Stegostoma tigrinum: one gene and its partner. The protein of the gene in region 2 interacts with the protein of the main gene of each other region in a pairwise test. Links are inferred from orthologs where the notes say so. Each region holds a gene or a part of one and is shown on either strand. Other genes may lie near its edges. The genes, in order: arhgap12b and trip10a.

Evidence for each region.
Region 1: the proteins of trip10a (region 2) and arhgap12b interact in binary tests that used the Homo sapiens proteins (3 or more experiments, as listed by UniProt). The two-hybrid records come from large-scale screens. The link is inferred for Stegostoma tigrinum from reciprocal best matches to the Homo sapiens genes TRIP10 and ARHGAP12.

The regions. Positions count from the first base shown.
Region 1 is NC_081355.1:127,968,210-127,972,125, forward strand, and holds the start of arhgap12b (rho GTPase-activating protein 12b), read right to left. Parts: upstream 2,590-3,916; 5' UTR 2,381-2,589; intron 1-2,380. UniProt on the Homo sapiens protein: GTPase activator for the Rho-type GTPases by converting them to an inactive GDP-bound state.
Region 2 is NC_081388.1:18,477,945-18,481,860, reverse strand, and holds the start of trip10a (cdc42-interacting protein 4 homolog), read left to right. Parts: upstream 1-1,642; 5' UTR 1,643-1,882; coding exon 1,883-1,906; intron 1,907-3,916. UniProt on the Homo sapiens protein: Required for translocation of GLUT4 to the plasma membrane in response to insulin signaling. Required to coordinate membrane tubulation with reorganization of the actin cytoskeleton during endocytosis.

The DNA of each region.
Region 1 (3,916 bases), on a different chromosome or scaffold from region 2:
CATCTGAAGGGTTGAGGTATGGTCTGGGAAAGGCAGAGTACCTGAAAGAGCAGAAATGAAAGGAGGTCTAATAACAGACGAACAGTGTATAGGTTTGGCAAAGAGAAAAAAAATTTAAAGACAAAAGGAAACAACAAAGTAGAAAGAAGCACTGGGTGCACAACTGAGCAATCAAGTAAAGAACACATGCAAATGAATATTGGGAAAGCTTCTGTCATGTCAGCAGGTTATGTATTGTTAGTTAGCTCGTATGTAACAGCAACAAATAGGGAATAAAAATGAAAGGAACTGCTGAAAAATCAGGAACAAAAACAAAGTTGCTGGAAAAGCTCAGCAGACCTGGCAGCATCTGTGAAGGAGAAAACAGAGTTAACATTTAGGGTCCAGTTCCGAGGAAGGGTCACCGGACCCGAAACTTTAACTCTGTTTTCTCCCACACAGATGCTGCCAGACCTGCTGAGCTTTTCCAGCAACTTTGTTTTTGAACAAACAGGGAATGCTGAGGTAATAATAGCAGTCATAAGTCAAAGCCATAATTCTTGTAGTGGGGTACAGCTGACACAAGTTGATCGAATCAGTAGAGAGTACTGATGAACCCTTCTTCAAATTTGGAATAGTGTGCAAAAGAATGAAGCAGCATCACAGAAAGCTCAGGAATTCCTGCTGGAGTGAGGATCCAGGAGGTCTATAGATCAGTTGAAGTGTAAAGATGATGGCAAAGTTAGAGGCCATCACATGACCTGGGAGTAACAACGTATCTGCCAGTCCAAGGTGGTACATTGCTGGGTAGTAACCAGACTTTACATAATGCTGACAAACCAGAACAAAAACAAAACACAGAAGAGACTGAGACCCTCCAAAGCAGCATTAGGGGGAGACTGACACTGATCATAATTACTGTGAAACATAAGCAACAGAGCAACAAATCACAAGTACAGTATTTGCATCTTGCGACATAAACCTGTGCTGTTCAGTGTTGAAGTGCAGTGTTAATCAAGAATTTTCAGGAATTTGAAGGAATACGCAGCACTCGAAGATAAAATAATGGGGAAAAGTAGGACATTGGCTAGTTATGACACTCATTTGAAGGGAAAGTGCATGCATGCTGGACCAAATGGCCTCTTTCTGTGCTATAACAATTCCATGCTTCTGGAGGGAATCCAGTGTGAACCTGTGGCTGGGGATGTGGGAATAGCAATTGAAACAAGCAATTACCTTGACATTAGAGCTAATTGTCTACTATTACAGTCAGGGGAACTTACAGTGGGCCAAGTGTGGCAGAGATTGGCCAAGAATTTAAGTCCACAGTGAGGAGGAGCTCCCTATCAAGCTGACTACATAGGGAGGCATCTTGGGGGAAAATAAAATAACAAACTTGCAATGTAAAAAAAAAATTGTGTACCAGTGTCCCTGGGTCATGTAATAACTTGACAAGCAATTCATTCCTGATCAGTAAAAATTTCCAGCTGTTTTAATAAGGCAAGGTTTTTGTAAACCAAAATGTAAATTATTGGCCCTGCATGAAATTAGCAATTACAATTTTCAGGAGAGCAATAACTTCTTTCACAAATACAAATTTAACCGTAGATAATGCAAATGAGCAAAGAAAAACCCCTGTGGCTCCATAGATGAAACAACAACGCAAAGAGGAAAATGATCATTCCGTATACAGAGAAAATCTACTCCTTTCTCCAGCCTTCAAACCATATCGGTCAATACAAAACAAGTATGTTTGGGAGGGTAGAGGAGGGATGCATTTGAGCATGGTGCGGGGAAATGGACAAAGATAGGAGTTGTGGAGTATGCGGCTGTGTGGATTGAGGGGGGAGACTGTTGTGTGGGGCCAATAAGACTGCATCAAGGGGGGCGATTTGGAGGTTGTGTGTCACGGTTGGGATGAGTATGAGTGGGTGAGAGGATAATGGGGTTGTGTGGAGGTTAGGGACTGGGAGGCATTAGCAGTTTTATGAGAGTTAGAGGCTGAATTGAGGGGGTGGAAGCGGACAAGAGGCGATGGGTGAACTGTGAGGTGGTTGGATGGAGTTGGTGTCTTTGAGGGGTCAGGGCACTGAGTCTGTCACGGTGCAGGTGATTTCCCTGTGATTTATTGTGTCAGATCTATGAAGGTTTAGGGCGGCCACTGGGTAAATCTGAGGTTTCCTTGTGGTTACTGCTTCCTCCTTCGCTTTAACCGAGGCCCCGGTCCCGGCCTCCACCACCCACACACTGCTCACTCCACAGCGAAACGGAAGGCGATCAATTCGTATTAGCGACCATATCATTAGTGGACAGACAGCACAGCGAGGCAGAGAAACTTTTCACTACGAATGCACTTCACGCTCCAAACTTTGACAAATACATAATAAAAAAAATCACGCACCTGCTTCGGACGATGACCGCAACAGCCGGGGAAAGAAACAGGCGAAAGGAGAACGTTTAATTTTCTGGAGACCTTATTTAATGTCTGTAAACTGAAGTCTCTCTTACAGATCTGATTTTTTTTGTTACTGTATGTCATGGTACTAATCCCCCCACCCCCCCGGCCGTCGAACAAACCAGACTGCGCCTCGTTTCCAACCAGCGCGCGTGCACGACCCACCGATCATCTCCAACCACCCGCGCGCACGTACGCACTCCTTCGTCCCGAACAGCGCCGGTCCTTCACCCGCCCCGCCCCTCACATCGCCTCTTCTCCTCAAGCCTTCCATTCTCCTTCTGCAAGCTCTCAGGATAGTCTGCGCGTGCGTATGGCTGAGGTGGTTGCCGAGCAACGACCATTTTCGGCTGTCAGAAGCAGTGTTGGTTCCGTGGGGTGAGCGGGAGGAAGGAAGCGGCAGCCGCTGGCTTGCAAGGTAAAGTTTATCATGGTGAAGGATAGCGAGTCACTCCCGCCTCCTTTACCCCCGCCCCTCAGAAAAATACACCGTCCAGCACATGTTGGCTTTGAGTGTGCATGTCTGTGAAGCAATGGAGACGATCACCGCGAATCGAAAGACGCTTATCAAAACTTTTGTGAAGACTTCATGAGTGACGGGGCTCGATTTTCTTGGTGTTGCTCCAGCGAGTTGTAACCACGTACGAGGGAGTCGAGTGTTATGGAAGCAGGTGGGTAAGTTAAGAGCATAGCCTGATTAGCCATGATGGTATTGAATAGCAGAAAGGCTGGATGGGCAAATGTTTTCTTTTCCCCCTAGAATTCCCGTCGTAAGAGCACTGTGGATCAGCAGACGGAACGTGGACTGCAGCGGCTCACCGTTACCTTCTCAAGGGTAGCTAGGGAATGGAAATAAATGCTGGCCAACCAGCAACACCTGTGCCCCACGAGTGAAAAAAATAGAAATAGCTGTATGGTCTCAGGATCAATGTCTAATTGGAACTAGTGAGTGAGTTTTCTTCTAAACCAGCCGTATTTGGACCTTAGTAAGAAGCAGGATCAAAGAACAATACAGCACAGGAACAGGCCCTTCAGTCCTCCAAGCCTGCGCTGATCCATATCCTCTATCTAAACCTGTCGCCTATGTTCCAAGGATCTGTATCCCTCTGCTCCCTGCCCATTCATGTATCTGTCTAGGCACATTGTAAATGATGCTCTCGTGCCTGTCTCTACCACCTCTGCTGGCAACGCATTCTGGGCACTCACCACCCTCTGTGTAAAGAATTTCCCATATCTCCTTCTCACCTTGAAATCGTGACCCCTGGTAATTAAGTCCCCCCACTCTGGGAAGAAGCTTCTTGTATCCACCTCTCATTATTTTGTGGACCTCAAACAGTTGCCCCCTCAACCCCCATCTTTCTAATCTAAATAATCCTAATTTACTCAACCTCTTTTCAAAGCTAGTGCTCTCCATACCAGGCAACATCCTGTTGAGCTCCTCTGCACCCTCTCCAAAGCATCCACGTCCTTTTGGTAAGTTGG
Region 2 (3,916 bases):
TGGTGATCCTTCCTCAGAAAATGTTAAGAATAGCAGTTTCTTTCCCTGAAGGGCATTAGTGAACCAGACAGGGTTTTTCCCCAACAACAAGTTCATGGTCATTATTAGATTCTTAATTCTAGAGATTCTATTGAATTCAAATTCCACCAGCTGCTGTGGCAGGATTCAAACCTGGGTCAGTAGGATGTTATCTGGCTCTTTGGATTACCACTCTAGCAATAATACCATTAGGCCATTGTCTCCTCTTAATATTTCTGAAGTGAAGCTGAATTTTCCTTACCGCACCAGACCATGTAAACATTAACTCAATGAGATCAAGAAGTAAAATACTGCAGTTGCTCGAAATCTGAAATAAATACAAAGAGTGATGGAGAAACTCAGTGGGTTTGGCAGCATCACTGTCTCTGATTTGACTCTTTTGGAGAAGATTCACACCAAGCTCAGAATATTGACTCTGTTTCTCTCTCCACAGATGCTGCCAGAGACCAAAAGTACTATAATAAAACAAAGGAGCATGAACGGTGAAGATCTGAAATGAAATTAGAAATTGCTGGAGAAACTCAGCAGGTCTGGCAGTATCTGTGAACAGATCTCAGTGTCTCTGGTTTGACATACTGGACTCAAAACCATTAACTCTGTTTTCTCTCTCTACAGGAGCTGCCAGGCCTGCTGAGTTTCTCCAGCGATTCCTGTTTTTGACCAAGAATACTATACTTTGCCCCTTTAACAGTGCTAGCCTGCACACCTAGCTGTAGGCTATGTGCGGTGAGGGTGCTTGCTGTGTTTTCTAAACTGCAGCAGTATAGTGTAGTAAGGGAGCAAATTACTGCAGAAGCTGGAATCTCTACTGAAAACAACAAATGCTGGAGATCTCAACAGGTCAAGTAGCAAGCTAACGTGATGAGTATGGATGACTCTTCATTAGAGCTTAAGATGCTCTGATGAAATGTCATCTAGACTCGAAACATTAGTTTTTCTGGTAATTACCCTTCTTCAGAATACCCAAAACGTTGACTGCTCCTTTCCTCCAGATGCTGCCTGGCCTGCTGTCTTCTTCCAGCCTCCAGTTCACCTACTTTGGATTCCAGCATCTGCAGTTCTTTTTGTCTCGAAACGTTAGCTTGCCGCCTCTCCTGAATGCTGTTTGGCTGTGATTTGTTGTTTCTCAATGTGATGGTGTTCCCTTTAACAGCACCAGCTATGTACGCCTTGCTGCAGAGTGAGTGCAGACAGGGTGCTTGCTATCAGAGATAATGGGGACTGCAGATGCTGGAGAATCCAAGATAATAAAGTGTGAAGCTGGATGAACACAGCAGGCCCAGCAGCATCTCAGGAGCACAAAAGCTGACGTTTCGGGCCTAGACCCTTCATCCTCTGATGACCTAGACCCTCTGATGAAGGGTCTAGGCCCGAAACGTCAGCTTTCGTGCTCCTGAGATGCTGCTGGGCCTGCTGTGTTCACCCAGCTTCACACTATTATCTAGGGTGCTTGCTATGTTTTGTAAAAGAGCAGTATGCATTGTAGTGGGGGTGTTCCCTTTAACAAAACCAGTCATACACACCTTGCTGCAGACTGAGCGCTTGCTATGTTCTGCAAAACTGCAGTGAGGCGCCGTTGAGCTTTTACAGAGGCGGAGTGGTGACGCGGGATTGCGCAGCGCAGGGAAAGTCGTGGCTCAGAATTAACCAGGGGCTGGAGAAATGTTTACACTTTGAAGGATGCCAGGCACCTCATTCATATAGAGAGGAGTTTCTGCAATCAAATTCCAAATAGAACAAGAGACGGGACCAAGTGAGAGGAGAAAGAAATTAACATAGAGTCTGCTGATCAATTCTCTCGTTTGTTTCTTCCCAGCCTGAATTAAAGGCGAAGTTAAAAATCATGGAGTGGGGTTCGGAGCTTTGGGTGAGTGTTACTTTTTAAAAGATATAACCTGAGAGATCCTGGAGATGCTGATGGCGGGGATTTTTTTTATTAAAAAAGACGCTAGTCGTGTTGTATTTGGGAAGAATGAAAAAAAGCGAGCGTTTCCGATTCACTTCCATTGAGAAACGAGCTGAGAAAGTCCTTTTCTTTTAGCAATTTTCCCAATTATCTTCTTTAAAAGTTGTAAGAAAAGTTTTTCTTCGCTGCTATCTCGTGTGTGCTGGTGCTTCTGTTGCAGCGAAGGGAAAAATGTATTTTAGTCTTTCCTTGCCAGGATAGAAAGGGTTAGCTCTCTCTGTTCTCTGTGTTGTTTCAGGATTTGGCTCTTTTTAAGTTGGGAGCGATCGAGTTTCCAAACTTCTCCCAAGTGCATGTTTGTTGGGGGCGGGGGTTGGTGAAGAGCAGGAAATGCCCCCTCAGTCCTCTGGCCACCCTCCCTCCCTCCCCAGGCCAGTTTGTTTTTGTTTAAATGCTATGTCCCATTATCAATGTCTCAGTGTCCGTTTTGTTTGCTGTTAACTAATGTGAGAAACACACACACACGTATTTTGCAATTTCTTCCAAACAAAAAGAAACGATTTGTGTTTAAAGCCCCCCCACCCCCCCCCCCCCCCCCCCCCGCGTTACACAGGCGCTTCCCAGTCCTCACGGATGAATGGGACATTGAATAGTTACAACTGCTGGATTTCGACGTTTCTGTCTGGTGGGGAGGGGGGAAGTGTTGGTCCTTACAATTTTCTCCGAGCCCAGTTTCTCTCCTGCAGAGCTTTGCGGGGAGAAACCGATAAAAAAAAACCTGTTTGTGTATGTGCGTTCCCTTTTTTTTGTACCCTCCTTGCTGTAATCCGCAGTGCAGGAGCTGAGAATAGCAATTGAGAGATGTATCTTTACTGAGGCTCACCTTGACCAACCCAGTTTTAACAGAACATTAATCAAGGCTGTTGCTGGGTGAGCTCAGGGTGGGGGGTGTTCTGAGAGCTTTGTATTTGGGTGTATCCGCTGAACCGGAGATACGTGCAATTGTTTCTCCCTGTAATCATAGCACAAAGAGAGCCCTTTCAGCCCGTCCTGCCTGCGCAAGCTCGTTTAAAATGGCTATCCATTTACTCACAGGCTGCTTCCCCCCCACCCCCCCCACTTGAGAAATCGCAGGACCAAATCCGTTGCAGAGGTTTCACTGGGATTTGTACTTTTTTGTCGTCATTGTTTTTGGTCAAATATCTGTATAGCAGACTTTAAGGGGGTGGGCGGGCGTGGGGTGTTTATTAATGTGTCTGTGTGTTGTCTTGCTCCTCTATCTGAAGGCATTGTCAGGTGGGCTACAGTTTCAGTAGGTAGTACATTGTATTTAGGGCATGATACAGGCCATTTGGCCCAACTTCCTTTGACCCTTTCACGGGATGAGAGCATTGCTGGCAAGACCAGGCCATCCCTAATAGTCCCGGAGAGGGTGTTGGCAAACTGCCTGTTTGAATGGTTGCGATCCATGGTGGTTTAGCACTGTTTGCTGGTGATGTCTCAGGGCTTTGACTCAGGAACAGTGAACGATGTGGCAGCAAATTAGTTCCAAATCAGGATTGTGAGAGATTTGGAGGGGAACTTGGTGGTGTTCCCATTTATCTACTGCCATTATGCTTTGAGGGGGTGGAGATTATGCTTTAGACGCTGCTGTCGAAGGAGCCTTGGTGACTTTCTGCAGTGCATCTTGTCGATAGTACACCCTGTTGCTACTGAGTATCGTTGGCGGAGGGAGCACGCTCTGGAGGTGTGGTGCCATTTAGGCAGTCTGCTTTGTCCTGGATGGTGTCGAGCTTCTTGAGTGTTGTTGGAGCTGCAGCCATCCTGGGAAGTCGGGAGTATCCCGTCACACTCCTGACTTGTGTCTCATCAGCTCTGAGGAGTCAGGAGATGAGTTACTCTTCACATGGTTCCCAGTCTCTGACCTGCTTTTCTAGCCGCAGTATTTAGATGAATGGTCCAGTTCAGTTT